Schizosaccharomyces pombe: one gene and its partner. Each later gene encodes a partner of the first gene's protein in a complex. Each region holds a gene or a part of one and is shown on either strand. Other genes may lie near its edges.

Region 1 (15,690 bases):
AAGTCCAATTGCGATTCAGTAGCCGACCAAAAACAACAAAATTTAGAAAACCAATTACTATAATTTAATAGAAGTTACAGGCTTTCTTTCGACTAACAAATGATTATGTGGTTTGAGTGTTTTAGTGGACGTTAGTTGTAAGGTGTACTTGGATGCAACACACTAGGCCTTAGCTTAATTTCCAACGTAAGGGTGAGGCTATCCAGGACAGGGAAAAAGCCCCGAAGGCGCAATCATCATAATAAATCAAGAATCTATAATAAAAAAATTTAATTATTTTAAGCCGTAAATATTCTAACCAGTGATTATCTAGCATCTACCATCGTAAAAACGGAGTTGTCGGAGCTGAGGCTATACGATAGATTATACAAACATAAGTAGTACTAGGTTTAAACAGGTGTTTATCGATTACTGAGGAAATGTAAAGTAATATATAGCAAAATTTCATTTCATTGTTTTGTTGCTACGTCCAGAAGTTTCGGAATCAGAATGTATAACTCTCTATCTTTACATAGTACTGAGAAAATTTGCTTTTCACGAAAAAGCTCCATTTGATAATCTTCCACTTGCGACTCAGAAAGTGAAGAATATACACTTTGCAAAAAATTTTTTTCCGATTTCAAGTAATGTTTACTTTCGTCGTGAATATTGTGTTCCATATGTTGTAACCATATTAAAAAGTCTGATTCTAACATAATTTCCTTTACCATTGGAAAAAATGAAGATTCTAAATCTTCATGCGCATCGATGATTTCTGCCCAGTTCACCTGTAATAGAAAACGGCGATATACGAGATCTTTTAAGTAAAAATACACGTCCTTAGTGATTGTAGCTCTTTCTAATAACTCTAAGGCCAAATCAACTTCTTTGAATGAACATTCCCGTAATGAAAAAGAAGAAAAGAAATCTACCATCTCACAAAGCGTAGTGTATTCGTTTTGAATTAATCGCTCAACAGCACTAGACACGAGCCAGGCTCTGATAGAGTTTTCTGATAGATTTACACAATTGGAAGTTACTATTGCTTCGACAGCTTCTCCCTCGTCTTCTGTAATATCCACAAGTGATGAAAGCATTTCAGCATATTGCTCTTGAATAAGCAAAATGGCTAAATGATTTTCAATCACCTCAGTCTCATTTGACAATATGATATTTTCACCTTCAATTCTATTAGTCCATGAGTAGAGCTTTGCTAGAGCTAACTGCGAAATTTTACCGATAATCCTGTTTTCTTCTGGTTCACAATCACGGAAAAGAATTTCGGAGGCTCGTCCATAATTTCCATTTTGAGCTTCAAATATCCACAAAAGATTCAATAAATCATTGGCTTCAAAAAAAGATATTAAAAGTGATTGATACTCCAAGAAATCATGAAGCAAAGACGCATACTGCTCTGTATCAACCAAATAAAAAAAAATTACATCTGCGAATTCTTCTTTGTATTTATTTAAGCATGCTTTTTGCTTTTGAAGCTTAATGGTAGGATCCTTTGGATCTAGACAATCCAGCAAAATTACCATTGTCTGAAAGTCTTTAACTTTTTCCGCCAAGTCGATTGCCTTTTCCAAATATCCGACAGAAGCTTCTTTGTTAGCGGAAACAAGAAAGTGAGAAACAGCTTACCTAAATATTGTAACCATTCTTTTCGTGAATTGCCAAATTCTTCTTCAAATTTTTGAAAATTATGCGATTTTACTATGGTATCATCTGTTCCATTGTGCAAATCAAAGATCAAAAGGCAATTTTGTTCCACCAGATGCAAAATCTGCTTCCGAAGCTTGTTACTGACTTTTAATATGTGTGCATCTTTCGAGTCACGTACATCGCGATGCAATGATATCGAATCTTCGATCTGTTTTCGTAGTAAATCTAAGTGATCAACTTCAACTGTCCAAAGGTCGCTTCTAATCACAGAGGATGGATCAGTAAATTTTGATATTTTTTCTTGCCTATAAGCAAGCTCATTTCCAAAGATAGTCTAATATTAGTAAACCTCGTTATTTTATAAGAAACATACCCCATAAACGTTATTAACATTTACTATTACTTCAATTCTTTTTTGTGCGTTGCTAGCATCTTGGCCAGATATTTGAGAATATTCCGAGCTTAAATGCTGTAATAACAAATTTATATTCAGGCACTTTTTCAAAAAAAGTTCATCAATATTATCATTTGAAGACATTATTTTCAATACTCGTCGAAGCAAGTTAGACATTTTTTCATTACACATCAATAATTCATATAGGTCTGCCAAAGCACTGCAATAGGCAACTTTTAGCCATAATTGAAGTCTATTAGAAGGAGATAAATGTAGGTATTTGAAGGCAACAAGAACTATTTCCATCAAGTCACGTTGCTGAGAATGTAGTGTTTCTAATACAGACATATTTTTTTTACATGGCGCTGATTGCAATTAGTAATATATCATGAAAAAATTATCTTACTCGTATAAAGTTCATCACAAAGATTAAAGACTGTATTATAGACTTCGCTTTCAGAGAGGTTGTATGTAAAGTCAAAATTTAACAAAAATTGTTCCTATATGTTAGATACGAAAGAATTAACAACTTACACGGAACAAAGGGCTTTGCGATGCAAACTGGGAGAGACGACTTCGTAAATAGGTGGTTGCACTAAAGCTGGTTTTCAGGTAGCTAGCAGAAGATTCAATTCGGATTATACCATGCCCTTCTGTTAACAAGATCAATGCTGGAGTTTTTAGTAAGGTGTGCGTAGATTTTTCATATATCGCATCTTCCATGCCAAAATCCAAAACCCGAGATTTGGAAGTTAGGTTGTTCACAACCAGGTTTTCTTCGACATAAAAAGTGCCTTCTTTCCCTCGCACTTTATGAAACATAGCAAAAGTGACATCGAAGACGCAAAAAACAACTGTACCTGGACTTGGTAAAAATATTCGACACACTGATGGAAGAATTGCAGAAAGATATGAGCGTACATGGCAGAATTGTGAAACATGAGGTATCATCTGATGGTTGAAAGAAATAATGATTGCAGCATAATTGAATAATGAAGCATTATCACGCCAGGAAACCAAACAAGCTAACGTATAAGGATCCGAGGTTGAAACAGAAAAATCAAGGATTAGAAATCGATTTACGTAGGAAAAGGATTCCTGAATACTATCTAAAATTATATCATAAATGTCAAAACCACGTAACAAGTGGTGATCACCAGTCCCGAATATTTCCCAAATTCGCAATGTGCTTCCAGAATGCATAGAATAAACTAATCTCTCACCAGGTCCTTTTATTGAACCACAACGTATTGGAATAACTCTTCCTGAAGTAAATGCAAAGATACTGTTGTATAACGACAGCAAGCAGTTGGGGATGTGCAATCCAGGAAATAGGATTCGAACCTGAATAGAGGAATTGCCATCGCTATCTTTTAAATTCAGATGAAGCAACCGACCTGAACTCAGAGTAAGGAAAAAGCCAGCAGGCTCAGCACTAACCAAATTTTTACAGCTTTCATATCGTTTTAGTTGAATCCTGTAATGAAGAAAACCAGGAAATTCGGGAGCAGAAACCTCAACGTTCATCAAAGAAGTTCTTTCCCAGTAGAAAAGGTCGCCCGAAGCAGGCCACAAAAGTAAAAAGCCAGGCTCTGCTGATGTTGGATCTGGCTTAACAAATCCAGCTAACGGTGGGCTATTTAGACTCTGCTGATCTAGAATACCCGTAAAACGTTCCCAATCAAAGCATATTAAGTTTTGGGGCTGACTTCCATAACCAGCAATCCATGCCTTTCGAACTTTGACACTAATATACAAATAATATTCCAAAATAGAGTCAATTAGTCCAACAACTGGCGCATCATGGATTGTAAAATTGCCAACCTTAGGAGCAGATATTTGGAGTATTTTGTACAAGTCATTTGATGCACAGACTTTCGGGTATTCTGAAGTAGCTAATGTCTCATGTTTGTTTCCGTCGGCAACTTTTTCATGTTTTCCTGCAGGCGTAAAAGCTTTTTCATTTTGAAAAAACCGTCGATGTACAATAAACATTGCAATTCCTCTAATAAGAGGCTCACTAATGTTTAAAAAAGCGAAAGTATCTAAGATCTCTTACGTGTTAAACAGATTATGCTCAAAGATAATTCTGACGATTTTCTAAGCTGAATCGATAGGAAACTTATAATTTAGGATCAAGAAAAATTTATTTGACGTTTTCCAGCATTTACTAATGTTTAAAAAATTAAGGAGACATGGATAAATAGATAAATTGTATTCCTACATCATCTGAACTTTTTAAAGAATAATAACACGACTTCAAAGGGTATAGTATTATGCATCGGTATATTTAATCTCCGGGGTACAGTACTTATCGTTAACAAATCTGATCTTTTTTGTGGTGGTGAACAACCAATGTTTTTAGGCAAAAATGAACCTGCTCACTTCTCATACCGCTCAGCATACCGATCTTTTGCAACTTGAAAGATAGCTCTTTCTAGAAAGGAATTGAGGGTTAAAAGTTATTTATAATGACTGTGCTGGCTCCCCTTAGAAGATTGCATACGAGGGCGGCTTTCTCGTCTTATGGACGAGAAATTGCCCTTCAAAAGAGATTTTTAAATTTAAATAGTTGCTCAGCTGTGCGGAGGTATGGCACCGGCTTTAGTAATAATTTGAGAATTAAAAAATTAAAAAATGCATTCGGTGTCGTTCGGGCAAATTCGACCAAAAGCACCTCTACAGTGACTACGGCTAGTCCTATAAAATATGACAGCTCGTTTGTTGGAAAGACTGGGGGTGAAATTTTCCATGATATGATGCTCAAGCATAATGTTAAGCATGTATTTGGTTATCCAGGTGGTGCTATCTTGCCTGTCTTCGATGCAATTTATAGATCTCCTCATTTTGAATTTATCTTGCCAAGACACGAGCAAGCTGCTGGACATGCAGCCCAAGCTTATTCCCGCGTTACTAAAAAACCCGGCGTTGTATTGGTTACTTCTGGACCCGGTGCTACGAATGTGATTACCCCGATTGCTGATGCATTGGCCGACGGTACTCCCCTAGTTGTATTCTCTGGTCAAGTAGCAACCAGCGCAATTGGTAGTGATGCATTTCAAGAAGCTGACATGGTTGGTATTTCTCGTTCATGTACTAAATGGAATGTAATGGTCAAAGATGTTGCTGATCTTCCCCGTCGTATAGACGAAGCTTTTGAGATAGCTACTTCTGGACGCCCTGGCCCTGTATTGGTTGACCTTCCCAAAGATGTCACTGCTAGCGTTTTGAAGGAGCCCATTCCTATACTGTCTTCTGTACCATCAATGAATCGCAGAATGAAGGAAGTCTTAGAAGAGGGCTCCAAGAACGTTACTGCCAAGATCGATCGTGTTGCCAATTTACTAAAATTAGCCAAGAAGCCTGTGATTTTCTGTGGGCATGGTGTTTTAGCTAATCCCGAATGCCCCACTTTGTTACGCAAGTTTAGCGAAAGGCTGCAAATTCCTGTTACTACTTCTTTGCTTGGACTTGGTGCTGTAGATGAACGTTCTGACCTTAGTTTGCATATGCTCGGTATGCATGGTAGTGGATACGCTAATATGGCCATGCAGGAAGCCGATCTTATCCTTGCTCTTGGTGTTCGCTTTGACGACCGTGTCACCGGTAACGTAAGTTTGTTTGCTCCTCAAGCACGTCTTGCTGCTGCCGAAGAGCGTGGCGGTATTATTCACTTTGATATTTCACCCAAAAATATCGGTAAGGTCGTACAACCTACTGAAGCAATAGAGGGCGATGTATACGAATCTCTAAAGCTTTTAGATTCTGCTACTAAAAATATTAAAATTCCTTCCCGATTTGACTGGTTATCTCAAATTCAAACATGGAAGGAACGCTTCCCTTTCACTTTCACTCGTAGCGCTCCTGGTGAATTGGTAAAGCCTCAAGAAGTCATTCAAGAACTTGACAAACAAACTTCTGACATAAAGGACAAAGTCACTATTACCACCGGTGTCGGTGCACATCAAATGTGGGCCGCTACATTCTATCGTTGGACAAAACCTAGTTCTTTGGTAACCTCCGGTGGTCTCGGTACTATGGGATTTGGTCTCCCAGCTGCCATAGGTGCTAGCGTTGCTGCACCTAAAGATATTGTTATAGATATTGATGGTGATGCTTCATTTTCAATGACTGGTATGGAACTTGCTACCGTCCGTCAATTTGATATCCCAGTTAAAATTCTTATCCTAAATAATGAAGAGCAAGGCATGGTCACTCAATGGCAAAACTTGTTTTATGAGAAACGCTATTCTCATACTCATCAAAAGAATCCCAACTTCGTTAAGTTGGCTGACGCTATGGGCATCAAAGCACTACGTGTAGAAAAGAGAGAAGATTTGGCTAAAAAAATGAAGGAGTTTTTGTCAACTAAAGGTCCTGTGCTTATGGAAGTTTTGGTTGCCCAAAAGGAACATGTGTATCCATTTGTCCCTGGTGGTAAGGCTCTTCACCAATTTATTTTGCATGAAAGCCTTTCATAAATTTTTTTGATTAATTTAAAAACAGCTATTTTGTAAGAGTCAGATGTAACACTTATTTAAACTTGCGTTAATTATCGTGTCACATTCTTTTAGACTCTGGTGGGCGGTTTGTCATTATTTACCCTAAAGCAAATTTGTTTGTTTTGCCTTGTTATCTTCGATTTTGGTTGTTTTTTTTTGTTTTGCTTTCTAACTATGGTTTACTCCGTTATCATAGCTTGTATTTAATTTTGATGATGGAGGTCAATAACATTACAAATTTTGCGAACATAGCAAATGAGAGTGTATAAAATTAATGTACATATATTTTAGATTTTGCCAATAAATTTTAGTAAGATAGTATTATCAATGAGTGCAATGCAATGTGAGCAGAGCGATACACCATGCGATGAATAATACCAGCACATGAATTACCATTTTCGTTTACGATTTTTTTTTGAAGTTTTGGTAAATTTTCTTCCATCTGAAGAATGAAAGGATAAATTGCCATTCTCCTCAGAAGGTGGGCTATGTTTTCTTTTAAAGCTTTTTGGCTTAGATCCCAGCCTAGATGCTAGAGAATTTCCTGGTTTGTGAAAAGGCCGTTGTTTCGACGATTTTTGATTTCGATTCTGCTCTCGCCTCTCCAATTGAAACTCTTTACGACGGGTTTCAAAAAACTCCTTGTTAGATGCATCATTTCCAGAAGGACAGTTCGCTTCACAAAATGCAGTGCTTTCAGGATAATTTGATCTAGATGGAAGAGTACAGTCGTCTCCAAAATGTTCATCAGATGCACAATTATAACAAAACTTTCGAACCTCAGAAACATCAATGCGAACAGGATGTTCTTTTTCGACATAATACCTCCAAATTAAAGGACACGTCGAACTAGTATGAGTATCGGTATGACAAGTCCGACAAACTCTAGGTCCTCTTTTTCGCGGCTCCGAACATCGCGCAGCTATATGACCCAGTAGTCCACAATTCATGCACTTCTTAGTCCAGGGGCATCTTACGGAAATATGATCATCAATTGCTCCACAAGTCGTACACTGTAATACAGTTAGTAACACTATTAAAAAAACAATGTCCGATCAAAATGCATACCAGAACATGAGGACAATCTTTAGATATGTGACCATTCCCTTTACAATTATGGCAAACTATACTTTCTGAGGGATCTGACCCGAAGTATCTACCCCTGCTCACCTAAATTTTATTAGTAAAAAGTATTAAAAAAAAACTTTTCAATCCATACGTCTGCCCATTCACTTCCTTCCACATCTTCCAAAGTACTATCGGAAAGATCCGTAGAGGAGTCATGGTCATCACTTCCTTGAAAATCATGCTTTTCCAAGCTCACCGAATTTGTGATACTCTGGTCAATCGGTAAAGAATTAATTTTTTGTAACAAGGCCGCATCGTCGATGTCTGAACCATCATCACTTTCTGCTTTTTGGTTTGAAACAGTCATGTCCATATATTGACAAGCAATGTAATAATGGCAAGCACAGTTTTCTTTAACACTTAACAGCCGGCCAGTAGTTTACTTCACAATATTCCCAATCAATTTAACAGTTTAAAAGCAAATAAAACATAAAACACTTCAAGTATTTAACTATCAAATGGAAATTTAATAGTTTCAGTAAAGGCAAAAAATTTTTGGTTAAGGTGTGAGTATTCACCTTACATGGATTATATCTGGCTTTCTCATGAGAAGTTTATTTCATTGAAATGAGCATGACAATAAATGAAATTCAATAAATAACTTATACTCCAAATTACAATTGTTCTCTCAAATGCAACACTTAATGCATAACCAAGAATGTCTGGTACTTAAAAGCCCTGATCGTGAAGAGATATTGAAAGTACAGCAGTAACTTAATTATATTAAAATATTAAATGATTGCACCTTCCCGACTCTTCAAGGCGTTGGATTTTAAAGTAGTTGAAAATTCGAGAGCTTCGTTTCAACACTTTGTAAAGCATAGATAAACAGTAATTTAACATTCAATGTTTAACTATGAACGTTCTTTGTATAGTTGTTGCTAATTGACATTAATTTCTTTTTAAATCATTTTAGCGTTTCAACACAGCTCACATTTATTACAAGACTCAACAACAGCCAAACACGCTAAAATGCCAAGATGTATGATACGATGAATAACAATAATTGAAAACTAATTAATGCTTAGATTTGTGTGATTACTGCCAAGTTTGGCTCACTCATGATAGCCAATCAGTTAGAAAAGCACACAATGCTGGAAGAGCCCATATACAAAATGTTCAGGACTACTATACGAAAGTAGCTCAAGAAGAAGCCCAAAAACAACTTGAAGAAAGGGCATCCTCTGGATTTTTAAAAAAGGGGAATGGTTCGCTAGACCTTCCTTATGCTTATGCGTTTCCTCGTAAGTTATTACTTTATAATACTTTTGTTGAATACGAAGTCTAATATTCCGAATTTTAGCCAAATATAATGTCTTTAACTTAGGATGTCCACCACCGCCCTACATTGTATCCGCAAATACCTATATGGCTCCTAAAGGAATGAATGCTATGAATGCTGCTGCATTCGTCCCTATGATGCCTGCTGTAAATTTAACAAACCAAGTAGCTTTTTCAGCTCCCCAGACTACAGCTTCTTCTAACACTCAACTTACACAACAGCAGCAATCTCTTCCTCAGACAAATGAACATCAACGCGCGCGTACTCATTCGAATGCTAATAACCATTTTACTAAAACCCACCATCAGGGTCAAAGAAGTCATCAAAGGTTTGTACGTGCTTAAAATGACATCTAAAAGATTAAAACTTGTTTGTTACTATTAATGTACTGTATAATAGCTATTGTTTATAACCGTTTACTACTGGTAATTCTTTCTCTTTGCGTTACGTAGTGAAATTTAAGGACAACTCCAAATACACAGTATTTACCAAGAATATTTAGATATTCATCTCAAAGCATGCCAAAAGAAGATGATTCTTTATGTAAAATAGTAGTACGTCGTGAACCGCTTGATGTTTTACTACCTTATTATGACGCGTCTGAAACCACCGTTCAAAAAATACTGCACGAAAATGACAGCACACTGAGTGTTAAATTCTTGGCGGGTGTTGAAGCATTGATAAAAAAAGATGAACTTGATAAATATAAAAATGGAAAAGCTTGTTTAAGAGTATGGTTAAAACACAAATCTCGAAAGAGGTACCATGGGTATATGACTTCAACCGATAAGGATGAGGAAGAGAAAAATGATTATTTACTGAAGTCTAATGGTAGTAAAGTCTTAAGGGACTCAACACGTACCAAGAAATTTAAGTTCGGAAAGGAATTTCACTGCGCACTTAATCCTTCATTTGTCAGTGATGAAACGGCTTCTGACAGTGCAACTTCATCTTCATCTGATACAAATAAGAAGGTTAATAGAAAAGAGCATAATGAGTTATCGTTGTCGCATTTATCTTTCAATGACACGTCCGACTTTGGTAGCTCCGATCTAAGTTCTTCGGAAATTGAGTCCACAGAAAACGATAATAAAGCTCCTTATTTCTCACTTCTTTACTCTGACGGATTTGATTTTATCAAATTTTTACACGTCTGTGTATGTGTCAAATGTCATGGACGTGAACATCGTTCCTCTGGTAAAAATTTTGTTTACTGTGATCATTGCTCAAATGTATACCACTATGACTGTTCTCCACTCCCTTCTTTAAATAAAGAAACGCGTAATTACTCTCAGCAAAATGGTTTTATATGTCCTTTATGTTCCAAAAACTCTAAGGACGTTTTGTGTAATACCGGGTTTGTTTCAGGCGTTTCTTCTGGACAGGATCTAGTTATCCCCCCATCCCTTGCTGATAGGGAATCTCTGTCAATTTTAGTCAATTACTGCAAGTCTATAAGGTTTCGGTGTTTTCGATGTAGGCGTGTCGAATATTTTTTTTATCTGGACAGTAATCCTTTGTCTATTCAGAGAACAATTACTCATTTTATAAAAAAACTTGTTTGTAATGAATGTTCTATGCATCCTTGTGATATTGAAGAGATAATTGCTTGGAGAACTCTAAACAGTTTATATCCTTCAAAAGCTACCCTTTCAAATAATTTTGTTAGTACATCGGACTTGAGCTTTTGGTCTAGAGAGTATTTCGTTCGAAGCAAAGGTAAGTCTTACCTTCACTGTTTTTGGTGTTCTGCTTCATGGCTAGCCGGTATTTCATTAGCTAAAAAGAAAAATTTCGATGGTTTGGAGAATGCCTCATACGACGCAACTAAGCCCATTATTCCAGTATCGTATACAATAATCGATAAGGTTTGGGATGTTCAATATAGAAGTGGAAAGAATGCTCGAACGGCAAAATATAAAACAAAAAAACATCAACTGAAGGCAATTTCTGAAGTTACATTCGCCTTTGTTTCTTGGCGTGGTTTAACTTATTATATGTCAAATTGGGAACCACCTCCTAAAGAAACAGATAGAAATCGCTGGAAAGCGTGGTTAAAAGGGTATTCGGACTTGTTGGAATGTCTATGGATCGAAAAAGCCCCTACAGCTTCGATAAATATTGATTTACCATTTACTAATCTTGAGTGGCACTCTCAACCAAGTTTTATCAAAGGTGGTACACTAATGCCATATCAACTGAAAGGGCTGAACTGGCTTTATTTACGATGGTACACACATCATCCTTGTATTTTAGCTGATGAAATGGGTTTAGGTAAAACTGTACAAGTAATATCTTTCATTAGTGTTTTATTTTACAGACATAAATGCTTCCCGGTACTGGTTATTGTCCCTCATGCCACTGTTGCAAATTGGGAACGAGAGCTTAAAAAATGGGCTCCCTTTCTACAAATTAATGTACTCGTGGGCTCTGAAAAAAACAGAAGTTTAGTCCGTGATTATCGTCTAATCAATCAAAAAGACCCAAAACATGTAAGCACTCATGTCCTCGTTATAAGTGCTTCAAATGTTGAACGTGAAATTTCATTGCTCCGAAAATTTCAGTGGAAAGTTTTAATTGTTGACGAAGGACAACGACTAAAAAATGATCAATCTTCCCTCTTTTATTACCTCTCTTCGGTTAAAAGTGACTTTAAGCTTCTTTTAACCGGGACGCCATTGCAAAATAATGTTCGGGAACTTTTTAATTTACTGCAGTTTTTAAATCCCATGAAAATAAATGCTGCTGAGCTTGAAAAAAGATACAGCATTATTGATACGGAAAAGGTGACTGAACTTCATCAAATCTTAAAGCCGTTTTTTTTAAGAAGAGTGAAAAGCGAAGTACTGGATAACTTTCCTACGAAGGTTGAAGTAATTATTCCTTTGTCCATGACACCTGTTCAAAAAGGTTTATACAAATCGATTCTTTCAAAAAATTTGTCTTTGCTACGTAATATTACCGGCTATGCTAATACCAGTTCTTCTGGAGGGCAAAGGACTACTTCATTGAACAACATTTTGATGCAACTTCGAAAAACATTAGCTCATCCGTACATTTATTCACCAGATATTGAAGACCGTAATCTCCCGTATGAACTTGCTATGCGTTCACTGGAAGAAGCCAGCTGTAAGTTTTTAATATTACGCTTATTGGTACCGAAATTGATAACTCGCGGGCATCGTATATTATTGTTTTCTCAATTTATCCAGCAACTCGATATCCTTGAAGATTGGTTTGAATATAAAAACATAGCCTATGCACGTTTTGATGGCGCCTCATCGGAAATGGAAAGGCAGTCAGCAATCGACTCTTTTAATGCTCCTAATTCTGAGTTGTCATGTTTCTTACTTTCTACCCGTGCTGGTGGAGTTGGCATCAATTTAGCTAGTGCGGACACTGTTATTATACTAGATCCTGATTTCAATCCTCATCAAGACATGCAAGCGATTGCAAGGGCTCATCGATATGGGCAAAAAAAAAAGGTACTTGTCTTTGTGTTAACTACTCGAGATTCTGTAGAGGAAAAAATCATTCAAAACGCTCAAAAGAAGCTTGTATTGGACCACTTAATTGTTGAGTCATTGGATCAAAATCATAATTCAGAAAAAGATTTAGAAAGTATCTTGCGGCATGGGGCTCGTGCATTATTTGAAGAGGCTGGTGATGAACCGTCTATTAAGTATAATGAATATTCGGTAGAATTACTTATCTCAGAAGCTGAGAAACAAGAAGATACTTCAACTGATGAATCAGATATAAAAAGCAATAAGTTTGGCTTTTTTCGTGTTTGGGATAACAAACATATATCTTCCAATCATTATGAAGTCAAAGAAAATGTTCTTGTTGATGAAGAAGATGTCTGGTCAGTAATACTTAAGCAACGAGAGAAGGATGCAATGCTAGAAAAAACAGACGAAACAACTTCCAACAGGAGACTTCGTGCACACCACAAAATCCATTATGGCGAAGATTTAAATATTTATGATAATAGCGACGATACTGATTATACCGTTAATGATCGATCATCACCAGGCTCCCCATTTCCCATAGAAACTGAGACAATCAGTTCGATAACAGATACTTTATCTGATAAGCAAAAACTCAAATATGATTCGAGCGTAAATATCGAAAACTTAAATGATGAATCTGATTCTCAAAAGTCTGCAGATGTTCATTTTGACTCTATCTTAGCTAAATCTCTATTAGCAACAACTCCCAAAGAAGATGAATTTAACAAAACTCTATCCACCATCAATTTAGAGGTGGCTAACAAATTAACTTCTTCAGAGTATATTAATGATTCGGAAATGCAACTGATAGACGATCCAGTTTTTTACCCACCTTACGAAATAATTGAAAAAAATCATCAACTGGTTGGAAGATCTTTGTCTAAAGCAGTTCTTGACAACTTTTTTCTACTGTCTTCTTTGTCTGATAATGTACGTTGTCGATGTTGTGGTATTAAACATTTACCAGCACATTGTCCATTAAGCATTGTGCCATTAGAAATATGCTTTTTATGTGGAACACCTCACTTTAGTGGAAGGGACACGTGCCCTATGTTACGAAATAAGGAAGCGATTTATAGACTAAAAGATTCGCTTAGCAAATCACGAGAACCATTTCACATCAAAAAACAAGCTATGGCTAGATTAAACTCGTTTCTACAAAAAAAGGAGGAACCTACTGTATCAAGCAGTGCCAAAACTAATGAACTTTCATCGAAAGTAATCATAAAGGAATCCATAATTAATGAAGCAAAAACTCTTTAGAGTTTTATCATCAATGTATACTATTATTTAATCTGGCATATTCATATGTATCCTGCATTTTATTCGTTAATATATAATTTTTAATATAAATTTTAAACATATATAGCATTTCCATCAAGATCATTATAACAAGGTAGGATCAAATATGGTAACAAGTGATTCAACTCTGAAGCAAATCATGAACTTAAAACCGGCGGTTATATACGAACAACCGCCAGACAAGTGGACAAAAGAAAGAAATATAAAACTGAAATCAGTTTCGTTATCGTTGTCTTCCACACTAAACTTCTACAGGACATAAAAAGCGTTACGAATGGTTTCAAAAAGACGACTTACTAATTCTGCTAAAAGACTTCGGTACACGAAGGAAGGCGCAAAGACTTTTGTGAAAAACGCTACCATCATCGGAGCAGATATTAAAAAATGCGGTAAAAATCTCTTTGTTACTTTTTTCAGGAACCTTCAAAGCAACTGTAAAATTAACATCCTCACCAGGATGAACGGAAGAAGTGATAGGAAACGAATATGGATTGTCTCCTGGAAAAAGTTTGTCTCCACCATTAAACTTGACATACAACGGAGAAGGCCACGATTGACAAGAAGTATTCCTTATATGCCATATTTTATAAAACGGGCAGCCAGGGCTTAATTCTAAGGGGAGAATGGAGTCCTCAACTAACTTGAAGTCGAAATTAAGAACCTTAGGTTTTTCAGGTTTAGATAAATGTAAAGGTGAAGCAGATATTTCGCGAGTTAAACGGAGCATTGAATGATGATCATGATGCACATGAGATACACATGAGGAGCAAAGATCATAGTCTTCACAAACCAGACAATGAAATCTTGGTCCAACTATTGGATGAGCAAGACAGTTGTCACATTGAACCGATCGATGTACTGTTGAGGCAGACTCAAACAATTCGGCTGATAGGAACTGAGGGAACAAATGAAATGAAGGAAGACCATGAGGATAAGCTTTAGTAATTCGAACGAAAGCATGCGTGTTTGAATGACTATTGTCGGTAAGGCAAGACTCACAAATGTCGTAGTCATCACAAACACTACACTTGTAACGCACATTATGTATAGGTTGCTCACAATGGTCACAAATGGCGTACATAAAATTAGATTGGGGAGAAACTGACATAGAATTTACGCTGCAGGTTAAGGAAGCAACTGAAGGGATTGAAGAGCGAACAAGTACGAAATGGGGTTTTGGGCAAGGATGGAGGAATGCCTGTTTCGCATAGCAGTCTCTACAAACATCGAAATCGAAACACTTTGTGCAATGAAATGAGTCATTCCGAATTATCTTGAGGCAAGTGTTACAAGCAACAGAAGAAGACCTTAAAGTAGGCGAATTATTATTGTGCTCAAAAATGTTTGACTTTAAATTATTCTCCTTAGTGAAGTGGATATTAGCGACTGAGGAATGAAAAGGAGGGAAGGAAGGAACACTATGGTTGCAAAGAATCCCACAATCAGAAGAGGGACATGTACGATTGCAAAGCATTTCGGGATCAAAAACGTGAATAAAATAAAATAAAATTTAATGATAAAAGAGAGCGTTAAAGAAAGCAAAAAAAAGAAAAAAATCGCGTAAGCAGTCAAGAAGTAACTCGAGTTCTTAGGTAAGAGAAGGTCTTAATTGTAGGTAAAAAGCTCTTTCGAAATAAGCTAAAGCAAAATTAGTAACGATATTAACTAATGAAATTAGTTGCAAAGTAAAATTTAATAGTTCATATGAATTTTGAAATTGAGGAAATATGTGACGCCGAAGTGAGCAACAGTGCTAGCAATTTCAGAGTAAAGGCAATAGAAAAAACAATCTTTATCAAGACAAGGATTTTTACGTTCTCGTAAATATTTATCGAAGATGTTATTATTAAAGTTCCATCAACCACTTTAGTCCTTCAATCCTTTTTGTAATTTGTTGTACAAACATTGAACTTAAGACTTTGTGCA
Region 2 (16,667 bases), on another chromosome or scaffold:
ACTTAGATTTTTCCCAACCGAAGCTTTTGGTTAGTGGTTTGGAATCTAAAATTTCTTTGTATGATTGCCGATTTCTGCAAAGTAAAAAAAGACCCCAGTCAATTATGTCTTATATGGGTCATTCTAATTTGCTTGAAAGAAATTTAGCTTTGATGAAAAATGAGAATGGAAGCATTTTTAGCAGTGCTGGTGATGATTATGTTTTACGTTTTTGGAAAACCGACTGTTCGTTACCATTCAAGGAAATGCGAGTTGACGATGGTAAATATTTATGTCGAGATGGGTCTTGGGTAAAAGCAATGAATGGTACCGGTTGGGTTCTACCGTATGGTCGAGGCTTACTTATTTACGAACCATGAGCATTTAACAAGGTGAAGAAAATTCTTTTTGGTAGCAATAGTATCTTTAGTCTTACGGATATATGTAATGCTTGTTTACTTTTCAATCTTTCAAAAAAGTTTAGGAGATTTCAATATTAATTAATAATTGTTGACGTAAAAGAAACTATGGAATAAATGTAGTAAATGCATACGCTTTCACTAGAGCGAATACAAAAAATAAAAATATAAAAGACAGATCCTCTAAGTATCATGTTTCATCACGAAATTAAACAGTTTTCGCTTTGCTTACGTGATTTCTGGGTATTGGATTTGTTACGACGAGGAGTGTTGGAAGCCTTTTTAGGAGTCTCCTTTTTTCCTCTTTCTTCTTCTTCTTTCGCTAGTCTCTTGGCATATTGTTCATCATCTTTAGCGCGTTTTTTTTTCTCCTCCTTTCTTTGATTCAAAACATAAACAGCAGGAATGAAGTTAGCTGCACAAAGTTCACCATTGCCTGTCTCAACTGTTTGCGAGTCAAAGGTTTCCCACACAACATCTTCACCTGTCCTTGCGTATCCACTATCTGTGACCAAAGTAAATTGTGCGAATGAATCTGGATTTGAATACATGGTACTGAAATGACTGGAACGAAAAACCACGACTATTTCCCCTGGACCTACAAGCTCAAGAATCTTTTTAAGACCAGCATTCGTCAAAAATTGCATTGTATAACGATTTTCCATAACTTTGTCAACACATGTAGCTATTTGAAGTGTTAGTTTGTAAAAAACATATAGCAAATTATAAGGCTAAAGTCTCTCAAGCAGTAAACTGAAGAAAGTATGCACGACAGATAAGTAAAAACTTACAATTATTTAAAAAATCTTGCTGCTGTTCAGTTAGTGGCTCCTGCATCTCTAATAGAGAACGACGTTCGGCAAATGTATCTGCAACTTTTTCATAATATTCAAGCTTTCGAAGGTAGCTTAAATCTTCGTCGCTCAAACCCATATCATCTGAAAGAATCCAACCATGAACTAATCGAACTCCAAATGTACAAAAGATTTCATGCCCATACTCAAACTTTTCAATATCATAGAGACAAGGATTCAATTGCTGACCGAAATGCATAGATGTCAGTTTATCCTGAAGACTTTGCTGATTTTTGCATAAGCCGTATGCTTTAGCAAACTCCACCAAGTATTCTGTCAGTTCATCGGGTGTGATGTATCTTTTCTTCGGCAATTCAAATGGTCGATCTACGTTTGACTTTAATATTAATGCATTGGACAAAGCAATTATAGGACACGGGCCATTAACTGAATACAAAGTAAGCAACTTAGAATTTGCGGAATAAAAGCTTGCAATTATGTTTAAAACGTTACAAGTCTTTATAAGGATTACCTGTTTGACATAGAATAATTCGTTTCTGGTATTCCCTTGAAAGGGGTTCTATGAAAGGAATAGTTCTTGTCTGGTAGGAATTAGAATGGTCCTCTTGCTTATGGTTCTGAGTTTCATTATTATGCTCTTGAGTATCAGGATCGTGTTCCTGAACATTATCCATGGCTTGGTAATTAACAGAACTTAGGTTTCTTAAAGAATTCCTTTTTGAAAATTTCAAATTTATATTCAAGGATTCCTAAATGTGTCATTTAAATTAACCTTATGAGTTAATTTAGAGACGTTGATCGTAAGTTGGGTAAGGATATAGCTTACACCACCATATCACAGTAAAACCAGTGTCAGTGCTAATGATAAAAGGTGTTTACTCAAAATAAATTTAGTTTTATGACAGGAGGATTTATAGTTTAAATGAAATCTTATATACTGAAATTGAACTTTTAGGATTGTGCTATATTTCGTATACATATTATTAGGTAATTGCAATTGGGGCCCAAGCTTTATACATTCAGTATTTGTAATAATTGCCTTTGTTAAGTTTTTAACAGCTATTTTGTAATCTTCAAATTTTGGATTCTATTTATAGTGAAGAAAGCAATGAAGTATATTAAAAAATCGACTTTAGTTGCAAAAAGTTAAAATTGAATTTATATTTTTAAAAATTAGTATATTAATTAAATTTCTTTTAAGTGTTGATGAACTCTTTTGCACTCATTTACTGTAATTATAAACTAGAAATGAGGTATTTGTAAAATTACAACTTCCTTTTATTAAGTTGTCAGAAACCCAGAAAATTTTAGAAAATGAGTTCAAGATTGAAAATTAAAATAAATTAATCAAATAAATGAGTTTAAAAAAAACAACTGTCTCTTAAGACTTTTCCAGTAGATATCTTTTCAATGCTTAACAGTTGTAATTATTAATGAACCAAAGAAAAGTTATGAATTTGCTTTAAAGTATGCGTTTTTAACCATTTTATTTTCAGCTATGTTTGAAAGTTTAAATGCAACTTCAGTAAAGTAGTATTGATTATATAGGTAGCATCATCATTGAAACACTTTTCATAATTTTCATCTTATAAACGAGAAGGCTATATAAGCTGCTTTATACTGGATTTACAATTTTCAGGAAATTATTTCTTTCAGTTGATTGACCAAGACAATGAAGGATGATTGTAATATACTTTGAATAAATTAAAATTGAGATTATAATTTAATTATACTCTAAAAGAAGTATTATAGAAAAGACAAAACTATTTTGTTTGTTATCATTTATACTCGCGAAGCTGGATCTCCCTGATGAATTCATTATGTTCTAGGAACCAAACTTAACGATTTACGTAATGCATTAACTAAAGTTTCGCTAACCGACAAGTGATAGATTACAGCTGCAATTGTTATACTCTAAGCGCTAACGCATACATATTAGCGTACATCTCATTCATCTTGCTTTTACAATATATTGTAAATTTCTGAACATCTTAAACGGATATTTTATGATATTATACTGCACATACAACTCATCACTTTTCCTTGCCCATATTTGACGGGCATTTGATACTCTCGACATTTACAAAATGCTTTTGCCAATTATTATGCTTACTTCCGGTGTAGCTAACACCGTCTTGTCGAAGTCAGTAGCTATTTTATTTATCCAATAGTATTGTTTGCTAACAAATCATCTCAAATAGATATCAAGACAGTATAGCAGAAGAAAGTGAACCCATCAAGAGTATGGCAGTTCTTCAAAGCCTCAACATTTTTCTTGGGGAAGCATGTTTATGGTTTTATGTGTTGTATAAACGCCACTCACAAGGTCCTGGCTACGAATCTCTTGACCACCTACCTTTAAAGCACAAAGTTTTCATGGCTCTTCCAGCAATCATGGATATATGTGGTTCAACATTGATGAATGTTGGCCTTCTTTATACTAGTGCCAGCATTTATCAAATGACTAGGGGTTCGCTTATTATTTTCGTTGCCTTGTTCGCTACGACTTTACTAAAAAGAACAATCGGTCAATTGCAATGGCTCTCACTGAGTTTCGTAGTTTTAGGAGTTGCAATTGTTGGTTATTCTGGATCCTCTTCTTCTATTGGTTCAAATCCCATTTTAGGAATTACTGCAGTTTTAATCGGCCAGTTTTTTTTAGCAACACAATTCACAATTGAAGAATACATACTCTCGTTTATTCAAGTCGACCCTTCAGAATTAGTTGCTTATGAAGGTACTTATGGCGTATTTTTTGTCCTTTTAGGAATGATTATTTCTTACTATTTTATCGGTTCTACTACTGCTGGATACCACGGGTGGTTTGACTATTCACACGTTATATCTCGATTTAATGAAGTCCCTGCACTCTATGTTATTTCTGGAGTTATTTTGGTATCTATTGCGTAAGTTCATGTTAAAAAATTGACCATTCGTATTTACTAACGTTCCAACCTTAGTTTTTTCAACGTTTCCGGCTTAGCCATTACAAAACTTCACTCAGCTACTACCCGATCTCTTTTAGATATTGCTCGAACATTCGGAATTTGGATTATTGCTATGGCAATGGGGATGGAGTCATTCCATTTACTTCAATTCTTGGGATTCGTGCTTCTTATTTATGGCATATTTACTTACCATTCTATCATCAAATTTCCTCTCGCCGAATCGTAATTTCTTAACTAGTTTCATCGTTTATGCAAAATTACTACAGATCCATAGTGAGTTTAAGGTGTTGATTAATTTATTACTGGTATTCGAGTTTACTGGCTAAATCGTAAGTATAATCTATAAAGATAATTTATTAATACAATTATCAAACTATAATCATAATTGATAATAAAACCTTTTATCCCTCTATATAACCTGGTATTTTACATGTAAATTAACTAAAAACGTTTGCGTATTTTTTTCGCTCGAGATTCTTCATCTGAAGCAGTGGTGTCCTCAATAATAGGTACTTCGTCTTCCGAATCGTCACTGCTTATGTTAAATAATTTACTGGGATTAGCTCGAGAATTAGAGGAGGACTGCTCTCCCGTAGATGTCAAAGCTTGCTTCTGAAAATTTTCATGGCCGTTGGTTTCAATTGATTCATTTACTTTAAACAAATCATCCTTTGCAGCATCTGTTTCGTCTGAATCGGATTCATCCTCAACATATTGCAAACCAACGTCTTGCAATGGAAGCTTGTCGACATCAATACTTGCTAAAGCATCCACTTCCACTAAAGGTTCTAAAGGAACTGGATTATTCTTATAACATTTTAACATATGCTCACGATGTTGACGAACCCCTTCATCAACTGATAATATGGTACTTAGGATACTAGGGAAATCTTTGACTCGATTGACACCCTCTCTTTCTATACGAGATGCGAGTGCGTATAATTTACTAGTTAGCAAATCAAAGCCATTTGCAAATGTAGCCTTTACGCGTAATAATCCACGACTAGATTTAGAAACATCATTTTGGAAATCTACCGGATCTTGGATTGAAAGCAAATAAGGCTGGTTTGGCTTCAGCCAACCCATCTTCTTTTTTGAAAAATAAAAACCACCATTGTGAACAGCGATACCGACAGCATCATAATAAAATTGTTTTCCGTACAACTCCAAAAACTCTAGCAGCAAAACACCAAAATTGTCTTCTTCACGCATAGAACCTGTACTAAGTCTAGGGTGTAATTGAAGAAAAGAAACAACCAAACAAACAATCGCATAGCTACTTAATCCGCCCAAGAAGACTTCGTTTAGCGCTCGCATGTTCAAAAAATGTTTAATAATTATTACTAACGGCCTAAGAGCAGGGTATTTTTTCATGAAACCGTTCACTACCAGACATGTCTTCAAACCTCCAGGTTGATTAAAAGATATGTCAACATGAACTTTGGTTAACGGATCAACGAACTTGATGATTGGAACGTTAGCAGTAGTAATGACCTGGACTTCAGAAGCAAGTTTTAGCTTCTTTAGATGATGAGCAAGAACAAACATATCTTTTTTTGTACCCCGATAATGATGCTCAGGTGATATTATTACAAGATCAAGGTCTGAAGTAGGTAAATATAATTTGGTTTCAAAACTTCCAAAAACATAAAGTGATACATCTGGCCATTTTTGCAAGACAGCTTGATTTATACGAGAAACAAGCGTCTTCCGAACCGCATGCTCTTCAGGAGTCGGAGTAATATAGTCAATAAAGTGAAGAATGTCTTGGTGAAAAATTCTAGAGACTTCTCGCTCTACCTTATACTGACGGTGCCAAGGGCATGATTGAGAATCAAGCTCATACGCTTGGCGTTTTCGTTTACGGTTAGAATCCGATTTTTCATTTGCTTCATGAAAAAATCGGCCTCGTTGACGCATAAAGCCAGGGATCTCATTTTTAGAAGACTTTTTTAAGGACTCATTATTCTTGCTTTTATCATTACTAACACTATCCTCGTCTTCATCGCTGTTCCAATCGAACTTGATAAAATCAGAATTATTTTCGACAGCCTTGTCGTGTACAGGGTTAGTTTTTCTACCTTCTCTTTTTGGTATACCTAAAAGAATGGTAGGTTCACCACGTTTTATTGCTTCCTCTGGTAAATCAGGTTTTTCCAGCGGCTCTAATGGATCGGCTTTTCCAAATTGAATATATGGATCGTTTTTGTTTGAAATTTCTACTCCACCTTTATCACGTATTCCTTCTGAATCATTATCATTACGTGATTTTTTACTTCCAATTTCAACCATGGGTTCTTCTTGATCCAGAAGCGTAAAATTGTTATTCAGAAGCATTTCGTCATAAGCGTCTGAATTTTTATCCTTTTCCTTTCTTTTAGATTTAAATTTACTCGGTTTATCGTTTTTAAAAATCCTCCTTGGAAGTGGTTCAGTTCTCTCATTTTTACGCTTTTTATAATTATTGCGGTTAAATGACACGCTTTTTTTACCCATCTCTAAGACATGGATAGAATGGTTTTCTATACCTATCTTGTAGAATTCTTATAAAAATCAATATATGACTAATTGAACCACAATTATTAATCACATAAGATCTTTGAAAATTTGGTGGTGAACAACTTACTAAATGTAGCATACCTAACTATTAACGATTTATTTACGAAAATCGTTGACACTCGGTAATTCAATTTGGGGAACATCTTGTATGGAGAGCGAGATATAGAAGTGCTTGTCGAGTATGAATGGTATAATGTAAATTGTTGCTTAGTTATCATTAAAAAAAAAATTAGTGTAGGTTTTGCTTTGCCAAACCCAATTTTTAGTATGAATCCAGTGAGCTGCGGTGTGAATTTTTTTTTTTTTAAATCTAATTAATGCCAAGTAAATATGTTTTTCAAATAACAAAGAAATGTATTATCGATAGTTTTGAGGATACCCATCTTGTGACTTTGAGGTGAGACCTGGGATAAAAGAGTTTTGAGTTGACGGCTCAGCGTATGAATTGCTCAAAGATGCATGAAGCATACCGGGAATTTGAGGTTGTCCATGTTGATAAGGCGATGGAAAGGAGGGCATAGTCCCTAAACCCGGAAGATTAAGTACTCCAGAAAATTGGGGATTATGGGCATTTGCTAATGTTTCGGTGAGAGGGTTTTCGTCAGGTTCATAATTATCGTCTTCTTCGATCGCTGCTTTTCTCTGACTTAGCATGGCCTCAGACTGTTCTTCACCTAAATGATGGCGATCCATGGTGGATTCCTTGTCATCTGGGCGAGATCTTGACCAAAAACGTGTAGTTTTATCATTTGAACCTGTACATAAAAGATGTCCAAGAGGATGATATTGCATACTCCAAATACCCAAATCATGAGCAAATGGAATTTCAGCAGTAGGGTATAGTAAATAAGAAGACGCGGAAAGAGTAACATTTGGATGCTTTTCATGATACTTTTGCTGAGAAAGTAATGGAGGTTCATCAAGTGAATAATGATTGACACTTCCATCGGAGCCACCAGTAGTAAGCAAATTAGGATAAAGAGGATGCCATGTTACGCAGTTTACGTCCTTTTCATGACCACGTAAAACTCGAACGTCCTTCATGGCACGTAAGTCAAATACTCGACAAGTGCTATCCCTAGAGACTGTAGCCAAATAATTTGATCCAAAATTTTTCTGAAAAGATGCTTGCATTATTGTGTTTTTATGACCATGCAAAGTCGCAATACATGTACCGGTTCTTGGATCCCAAAATTTCACTAAATTGTCTTTAGAACCAGAAGCCAAGAGACCTTTTGAAGGATGCCAATCGACGGTTTTTACATCCCATCCATGACCAGTTAGTTTCAGCTCTTCAGTACTCATATGGAAATTCCATACTTTTAATGAACCATCATCACTCGCTGTGACAAATTTGCTATCATTGGGTGAAAAGGCAACATCTCTAACTTCCATTTCATGAGCTTGAACAATTTTGACATTGTTTAAATTCGGTTCAAAATACTTTACCATGCCTCCTCCATCGCCGGAAATAAGCCAGCGCCCATCTGTACTCCATTCAGCACAACGAACGGCATAATCATGACTCTGATTAATTAACTCAAAATTAAATGTGAGACCATTCCACAGAGTAAATTCACCAGTTGAAGAACCTGTCAACAGTCTTCGACCATCTGGAGTCCAGCGCACAACGTTAATAACATGTCTAGCTTTATTTGCAGACGTATGAATATATTTGGTGCACAAGGAAGATGTGTTATTATACTTGTATTCATAAGGGGGATACAAGTTAATTATTTGATTCGGATTTGGTCTCGGTACATGTATGTGATAGCGATTGCTACGCAAATGTCGATTGACAATATACTTTGATAGCCCTGATCCATAGTCCACAGTCCTACGAGTCATAGGCTTTTGAATAATTCTAGCATTTTCAGCTCTTTCCATGATGAATTAACCAATTCCCCAAAGATGTGAAATTCCTTATTTAGCAGCAATAAAATCAATCTTTAATTTAAATAAAACCAACTTAAAGTTCCTTCTAATGTAGTATAAACTTTACCGTTTTTCGTATGGTATTCTAATATATAGATATTTGGCGCGTTTTACGTGCTGGGAAAATGAGCTAGTATGACTTTGGCCAAAGGTATGGATACGCAATCGTATCTTTTGACATGATATTTGGAACGATTGTGCTTGTAAAATACATTGAAAAAAATTTTATTAATTTAGTTCAAAGACTTCTTTTATTTAGTATAAGTAAATCGGTGGGATGTTGAAGATGATATTAATTTCGTTCCAAATTAGGCACGCCAAATAAATTAATCCACCTAGATCAAGTGTTCATAGTAAACATACAGTAATGATATCTTTGATCATCTATCCATGCTTGATTAGACAGTTAAAGAATAGTACGTTTAATTTATACAATGTAATAACATTAAATGAAACTAATGTCTAAATAATATCCATTTGTTGTTTTTAGATGAATTTTGCTTATTTAACATTTGATTAACGTTCCACATAAGGTTTCTCAAATTGCTTAATATTTTATTTGTAGTCGTACTTTAATGGCAGTATCCAACCTACATGTGCTCGTTTTATTCATTTGAAATTTATTTTTTAACAAAAACTGAGTAAAAATTCAGGAAATTGAACTGCTTAGTCGTATTATTGACACTGCATATTTTACATAGAAATCTTTATTGTCTAAAGACACCAATTTGTGTCTCTCTTTTAATATTGGTTAGTAATTAATACCCTACTTTATTCACTTGCTCTCTGATAATTTGAAATAAGCTCCATAGTTAATCAAGTTTACTTTCCTCATACACTACTAAGCACAACCATTTTATCTTTCAAAATAATTGTAATTTTACTTAGTTGCATATAATACTTGATTAAAGTATTATACTGCGTATCAGAGACATAGACTTATATTGGCATGACCAGTAAACCAACGCTCGAAGTACACATTCGATGTCTACTAAGGATAAACTAAATTTACCCCCTAAACGGACAATTAATACTCGATTATCAACTCCTGTGCATATTCCTCCCCCAATAAATTCAGAAAGTACACGAATAACGCCTCAGCATGGTAGCCCACCACGTTTTGGAGATCATCGAATATCTGCAGCTCAAGGCCTTTTTCAAAGACGGCGGAATGCTAGGAAAATCGATCATCCATTAGGATGGTTCTTAAAAAACCGACATGCTGCTGCTCATATTCCTCAAAGAACTACTAAAACATCTCAGAAACTTGTACTACTACCCGAGAACCATGCTGTCAATTCATTTAACGAAGAAGAAAGCAACTATGAGGACTTGCTTACTCCTAGCGATGCCTATAATTTAATCAAATTAGAAAACTTACCTCGTGACAAACGTGAAGAGTTAGGATTTCCTCGTGCTACAGCATATTGTGTCTGTGAAGCTTTCCAGTTGCCTAAGGTTAAACATTTTTTAAAACATTATCACAAAGTCCGCGCAAAGAAATATGATGAGGTTCTATACGCTGTATATCATTTACCTTTAGTGTATGGCAGGTCTGAATCTTGCCGAGTTTCTAGTGGCCCAGCACCGGACGATATGCCCTCTAGTGCGTCTAATCACAATCAAAAGCATTTGGACTCTGACAAACCGGATAACGAAAATTTTGATTCTCATATAATATCTCAATTGTATCGAATATCTGAAAGTAAGTTAATCCTAACTGTTTAGCTAATTTCCTATTAACGCCATTTAGTTTTCGTCTTCTCTTATGGTGTCGTGGTTTTTTGGAATTTTTCTTTGAGTCAAGAAAAGGATATTCTTGCCGATTTAACTTTTGGTGGTGATAATTCTTTAATGGTTAAGCCTTTAGCAGAAGAGGAATGTGAAATTGAAGATTTACATTTTCATTACGCGCCGAATACAAAAAGGCCGAGGATATATAATGATATGATTCATATCCCGTCAGCGGACAACAAAATGAAGCTGGCAATGTCTCATGCTTTGGCTCAATCCGTCAAACTTTCTAGGTTTGAGTTACGAACAGACGTCACAATGAACTCTGCATTATTCTATCCAAAAAAGCTTGCTTTATACGGTCATTTAGGTCTTTCAAGGGTAGAGGTTGTTCGCATGAGCGGTCATTTGTTTCAGTTACGAGTGGATGTCAACCTTATTAGTAACATATTAGACACTCCAGACTTTTTATGGGACTCTGAACCCTTACTTCTACCTTTATATACTGCATTTCGCGAATACTTGGAAATTGGACCCCGTACAAATGTTCTCAATAGACGCTGTAAAGTCATTTTTGATATGCTTGATATATTTGGTAAATCCAGCGCGGATAGGAAGATGAACTCTATTACCTGGATAATAATTATCTTGATATCTTTGTTTGTAATCATATTTACTGTAAGTTTTAATTGGTCGTTTTATTCATTGACTAACATAAGCAGCTTGAAGTCATATTGCGACTCAGATGGGCTCATAGGTAATTGTGTGTTGTTGGTTTATGTTGATGGACTATGGTCTGTAAAAACCAATGGTTTTCGACAATTATCATTATTTATTCTTTCTTTTTCGCCTCAAAATATTTCCCCTTTTATCAATTTATAATTTCGTTGCTGTTAAGAAAGTGTCAGGTTGGTATGTTTCTGTACATTGGTGTTATATAATCATTTGGTTAATGCCGCTTCGCTTCACGAATGAATTTTAATGATTGAATGATTCAATACTCGTACGTGCTTTTGACATCTTTTTCCAATTCGTAGTGATAGTACCAAGGTGTTTTTGCATCTAATTCTTCAATTTGCACATTAAAAATACGAAGCACCTGCTTCTCTAAATCTAAATACGTCGAATCAGAAAGATGTAGAAATTCTTTAGGGATATTGTGAATAAAACTGAATAGCTCATTGTTAGAAGGCAAATCGGTAAATAGCTTTTTTGCAGTCAAAAACTTCTTGATATAGTCTGTTGGGATAATGTATTTTTCCTCAACGTTTAAAGCTTTTAAAACATCGAAAGCGTTACCGTAGTATCTAATCAATTTCAGGGCTCTTACAGGCCCAATCTTTGGGATTCGAGATGTGAAATCTGTTCCGCACATCAAACAGTAATCTTGAAATCCATCAAATGTTAAGTTCAATTCTTGAGCAATTTTTCTAGGATCCATAATTTGCAACGGTAGATGAAAATTATCATTTAAGTCAAGAAAGTTAGATATCATTGAAGAACCCAACAGTAAGACATCAGTATCTTGAGTAGCAACTGCATATGCCAGGTTGTTTTGAGAAATAGCTGAGGCAAATGCTTCAGCTTCTACTCCGATAGGAGAGAATGAAGCAGGTATCCCTAATATTTTTAATATTTCAAAAATTTCAAAAATGTTTTGAGGAGAAGGACGATATAGCCTTCTTTCTAATTTATCTAATTCAGTTTGTTTCAATTTTATTGCTTTTTGAAGTTCGTCTAAGGTAAGAATACCCTTTATGATTTTAAGACATAAAGTCAAGCATTCCAGATCCAAATTAGACAAGATAAATTCGAGGTAAGATCGTATCTCAGATGGGAAGTCATTGATTTCTGAAAACGCAAGTAGTTGTCGTAAAGAATGTATGAGATGATTTTTCTTTTCTTGGATCATCAAAGTTTTTTCCCTGTCATTTAATTTGTCAACGATTAACCTTACAAAAGTTGCATTCTCTAGATTTTCGGCATTATTTTGTGCATGAAAAGGATTATCACGTTCATTTAGAGAACGCAAATCAAATAACAACTTTCCAATTTGAGATAATAATGGACCGATCTCGTAGTAAAAGTTACCAGTCGGAAAATTATTATCTATTAAACAATTTTTTAAATTGCATAAAAAATACATCTGTTCCTGAACAACTTGTCGCTGATTGACTATTTGAGAACTTATCAAAGATCGTTTCTCGTGTTCCTCTGCTTTGAAATCATTAGGTTTTAGGTTGTCAAATACCACAATTGGCGAAGTTTTTAGTTTGCGACAATACCTTGATAGTTTTAAGGCCCATAAAACATGTTGATAATTGGTGTGCAATGGCGTATTTGGAGACCGAAAAAATCTGTATAATAAAAGATTTCCATCTACTGCTAGAACAGGATAATATTTAGAAAAAAATTCTGGTTGAAGCCATCTTATACCCTCAGACGCGACCTTTCTAATGATAGGTAGCAAACCATGAACGCCCATCAATTACTTGAAATAGATTTTTCTTTTGTGAGTCGTATAATCATAAGTGTAACAAATATGTATTAGAATGAACGTCTTTTTAGAAGTTAAGTCATGGTTGAACTTATGATGCACATAAAGATGGAAATGCAAACACTTTAGCACCCACAGCTTATGGTACGTTCAAATGACGCCAATACCGTTTCTTCTTTAATTGAAAGAGTTCGAAAACCAGATTCTTCTGTAATGTCTAATGACAGCACATAGAACAGTATCTAGAAACTCCCAAACATGAAGAGTTTAGTTACTTGTCTCATTAACTTTTTGATCTCTATTCTCACAAAAAAAAAAACGATAAAAAGTTAACAAAGCGTCAGAAAAAAACTACTTTAGCTATTTTGTATACATATATCAATCACCTATTGGATTTTATCGACGATTTAAAAATTCGATTTTTTTGAGTAACCCTAAACCCTCAAAATTTTTTGTGTATATAATCTCAAAACTTTTACTTTATTCTATAGGCAGCGCATTAGGATCTCGGCAGCAAACGTCAAGAGCCCATTTTGGAAGCTGTGTCTTATAAGACCAATCTTTGCTCTCATATTTTAAAGCATGTAACCAGATTCCTAATTCCTCTGGGGATGGATCACTATAAAGTGGAGTACCGCACTCGGAACAGTGTTTACCAGTTAATAGCTCCCCGAGGCGTTTGTCTCTACGGGCCTTGGCCTCTGCCTCTGTTTCATTTGTATACCACTCATATTGCAAGAGTGGAGAAGCAGTTTCAGTTTTACCGATTTCGGAAAGTCGCATAATTACAGATTCATTGCTGCCTTCTCCATTCTTCCCTAAAGAAGGACCCCATACCCTTTTATTCGCGTATATAGGATCATTAGCAATAGGATAACCAAGATACTGTAGATGAACCCGTAATTGGTGAGTCCTTCCGGTCAGTGGTTTACAAAGCACGAGGGATGTGTGTCCATCAAACGCAATTCTTTTGAAAACGGTGCTGGCCTCCTTTCCATCCGGATGGATCCTATTTAAACCTAAAGTAGGTGCAACAGTAAGTAACGGAGCATCGCAAATTACTTCACCAGAATTGGGGAACTCTCCTATTACTCTAGCAACATATTCTTTTTTCAGGCTTTTGCTAATCATATGGACGCGCATTTCTTCAGCGGCTTTAGGACTCTTACTAAAGAACATCAGACCAGAAGTTAATCTGTCTAATCTATTGCAAGGATATAACAGAGAACATTTGTTTTCTTTCATCAAAATATGTAAAACAGTATTGTGATTATAGCGACCTGTAGGATGCACTGGAACACCAGCAGGTTTGTCAATAACAACATAAGATTCATCTTCATGGACTATGCCTACTGGTTGGTCAGAAACTGGTGGTTCATGACGATGCGCATGATGGGAAACTATGTATCCATTTTCAATCAATGTGTCAACGTTACCAATCTGATTGTTTACCTTAACTTGACCATTGCGTATTGCCTTTTCATAATAACCAGATTCCCTGTCCCTAAATTCGGTATTGAAAACCTCTAAAAGAGTTTTACCGTACCACCTCAGCTTCGCGAAGGTAATGTATTCATAATAGTAGGGAGGGACTCGCCGTAGCCCGTCGCCTTTAAAAACGTATTCACAATCTTTCAAAGGATCTCTTTTAGGTCTTTTTAACATCCCCTTAGACCACAAGCGAATGGTTGAGTTTAATCCGCTAATGGTGGAAGTGAAAATCTAAGTCGCGGTTGGCAAAGGAGTGTAGTTGTCTTGGTATTATTCTCGTACTCACTCAACCTGTGGATAACAATACTTATAGTGTTCAGCTACTCAAAAGTATTTATGGTATTTAAAAAATTTTTACTACATGCTCTTTGTTGTTAATAAGAAGACTTTCGAAAGTGAATAATATAGGTGTCTATTCAAGAAAAGTTCGAAATCTTTGAATTAACCAGCATTACCTTAATAAAAAGTGCGTATAAAGCTTCAAACTTTTCATAATTCAAAAATTCTTTCGAATAACCTGTTCTCAATTTGAAATCTATAAATAGGAGAAGAATGGATAAAAATAGGTAAAAAAATAAACAAACCTATTAGTCGATGATATTTTATACTGGGAACGGCTATGAATTCATAGAAACCTTTTCGAGAATACTTAGAAACTTATCCCTTATTTTTATAGCCAGCTCATGAGTTTGTTCGGTGTTCCCATCATCAAAAATAGAGAGGGAAAACGAACATGGACCATCTGCTACTGTTATAACATTTAGTACAAAAGGTGCAGAAAGACTGGAACAAGGTTGTGCAAATGCCATATTCTTGATTTTTACCGACGAATCGGCGGGAAAGCTAAAATACCCCAAATTAGATATTTCAGCCGTATTTCCTCTAGTTTTTTCACAAGATTTTAAAAGGTAGTCTTCAATATCAATATAACTTAGCAATCCAATTTGTTGAGACATCTCCCTAGGATTGCTAAGCGCTGCTTTTAATCGATGCGAAAACTCAGTTGCTAAATCTACCATGGTATGTTTATAGTCCTCCTGACGCTGACTTGGCTGAAAACCGTTTAGATGATGAACGTAAGAAAACACATAGTTTCCCATGGTTTGCTTGGCTACGGGCAAAAAACGGCGCGCATTCACATCAATGAGCATATCTAGGTTAACTTTACCATTTTTAGCAATAGCATAATATATACTGAGCATAAAGACAGAATAAAAAATCGAAGTGAAAGAAGCGTCTATGTTTTTTGAGAGTTGCTTGATGTTTTTAACAACAGCATTAGAAATTGAAAAGAATATTGTATGCGATGAAAATGGACGCACTGGAGCATGACCTTTATAAGAAGGAGACCGAAAGCCCTTAGAGAACGGAAGTCCAGAGTTTGTCCATAGTGCTTTCATTAGACAAAACCATGAAGGATGAACATCTATTAGTTTTTCAAGATTTTTAGGAAGTGGTAATTCTGATACTGGCACGGTTGAAGATGAAAAATTTGTTTTGGACATTTGTAATCCTTCCAAAACATATTTATGAAACAAAGGGCCACTTCCTCCGTCGAAAAGGGAGTGATCATATATAAAAACTAATTCGGACTTATCATTTAGTACATAGACCATCCAAAGAGGAAGTGTCTCATCGTCATAACATAGCTTAAAATTTTGAAGAGCGTTATTGCAGAAGCTATCAACTTTCTGATCATCAGCATATTTAACGACCTTATCAAGGTCTATTGTTTTCAACTTCTTTACAATGGGAATTTTGCTATGACAATTGTGGATCCTAGCACCTAGCATCGGTTGATTGACAATTGCATGATATACTGCTGGATATAAAACTGTCGAATCGAGCGAAATAGAGTAAGTTGCAGAAACAATTACTATAGAAAACATATTTAAGACATTCCTCTTGACGGAATAAATTTCCAACCGTCCTGTAGACATTAGTAAGAAAATGATTAGAAAATCGAAGAAATGTTAAACATAATTACCAACCTGCTTCTCTTTCTTCCATGTAGGTATCCATAATGATATTAATAGCTTTGCTTCAACGACAATTCAATAGTTTTGAAACCGAATAATGAGAGAATGCACTATTTAATCAGTGGTGAGTTATTTCAACGCGTAAAAAATGAAAATTTACATAAATTTACCAAGCGGCGCAGTGGAATCTCAATATCCATCGATAATCAATTGTAGTTAAATTCCAGCTACTTTGTTCATATTTTTATTTTTGAAACAGATAGATTTAAAATATAAAAAATGTATTTTCTGAACTGTAATAAAGGATGGTA

The links.
Region 2: air1 (region 1) and cid14 share a complex: the UniProt entries of both Schizosaccharomyces pombe proteins name them as parts of the TRAMP complex.

The regions. Positions count from the first base shown.
Region 1 is NC_003423.3:972,600-988,289, forward strand, and holds air1 (TRAMP complex zinc knuckle subunit Air1), read right to left. Parts: upstream 8,170-15,690; 5' UTR 7,982-8,169; coding exon 7,760-7,981; intron 7,711-7,759; coding exon 7,609-7,710; intron 7,554-7,608; coding exon 6,930-7,553; 3' UTR 6,759-6,929; downstream 1-6,758. Other genes in the region: nucleoporin, WD repeat Nup131, read right to left, coding at 450-1,582, 1,624-1,978, 2,018-2,403, 2,445-2,538, 2,573-4,033; ilv1 (acetolactate synthase catalytic subunit), read left to right, coding at 4,510-6,519; U1 snRNP-associated protein Usp103, read left to right, coding at 8,641-8,650, 8,697-8,912, 8,972-9,294; SHREC complex ATP-dependent chromatin remodeller Mit1, read left to right, coding at 9,469-13,725; protein Nbr1, read right to left, coding at 14,045-15,238. UniProt on the Schizosaccharomyces pombe protein: Component of the TRAMP (TRF4) and TRAMP5 complexes which have a poly(A) RNA polymerase activity and are involved in a post-transcriptional quality control mechanism limiting inappropriate expression of genetic information.
Region 2 is NC_003424.3:311,914-328,580, reverse strand, and holds cid14 (TRAMP complex poly(A) polymerase subunit Cid14), read right to left. Parts: upstream 6,777-16,667; 5' UTR 6,658-6,776; coding exon 4,603-6,657; 3' UTR 4,452-4,602; downstream 1-4,451. Other genes in the region: WD-repeat family protein wdr21, read left to right, coding at 1-359; cysteine-type deubiquitinase Miy1, read right to left, coding at 599-1,083, 1,190-1,639, 1,725-1,887; gms2 (NST UDP-galactose transporter), read left to right, coding at 3,301-3,356, 3,415-4,119, 4,174-4,387; mRNA cleavage and polyadenylation specificity factor complex, WD repeat protein Pfs2, read right to left, coding at 7,078-8,607; sif3 (Sad1-interacting factor 3), read left to right, coding at 9,640-10,360, 10,409-11,067, 11,112-11,150; SPOM_SPAC12G12.16C (XP-G family Fen1-like nuclease), read right to left, coding at 11,384-12,874; pus9 (tRNA pseudouridylate synthase), read right to left, coding at 13,367-14,551; SPOM_SPAC18B11.03C (N-acetyltransferase), read right to left, coding at 14,995-16,307, 16,369-16,399. UniProt on the Schizosaccharomyces pombe protein: Required for 3' polyadenylation of the 5.8S and 25S rRNAs as a prelude to their degradation in the exosome. Involved in the nucleolar organization to ensure faithful chromosome segregation during mitosis.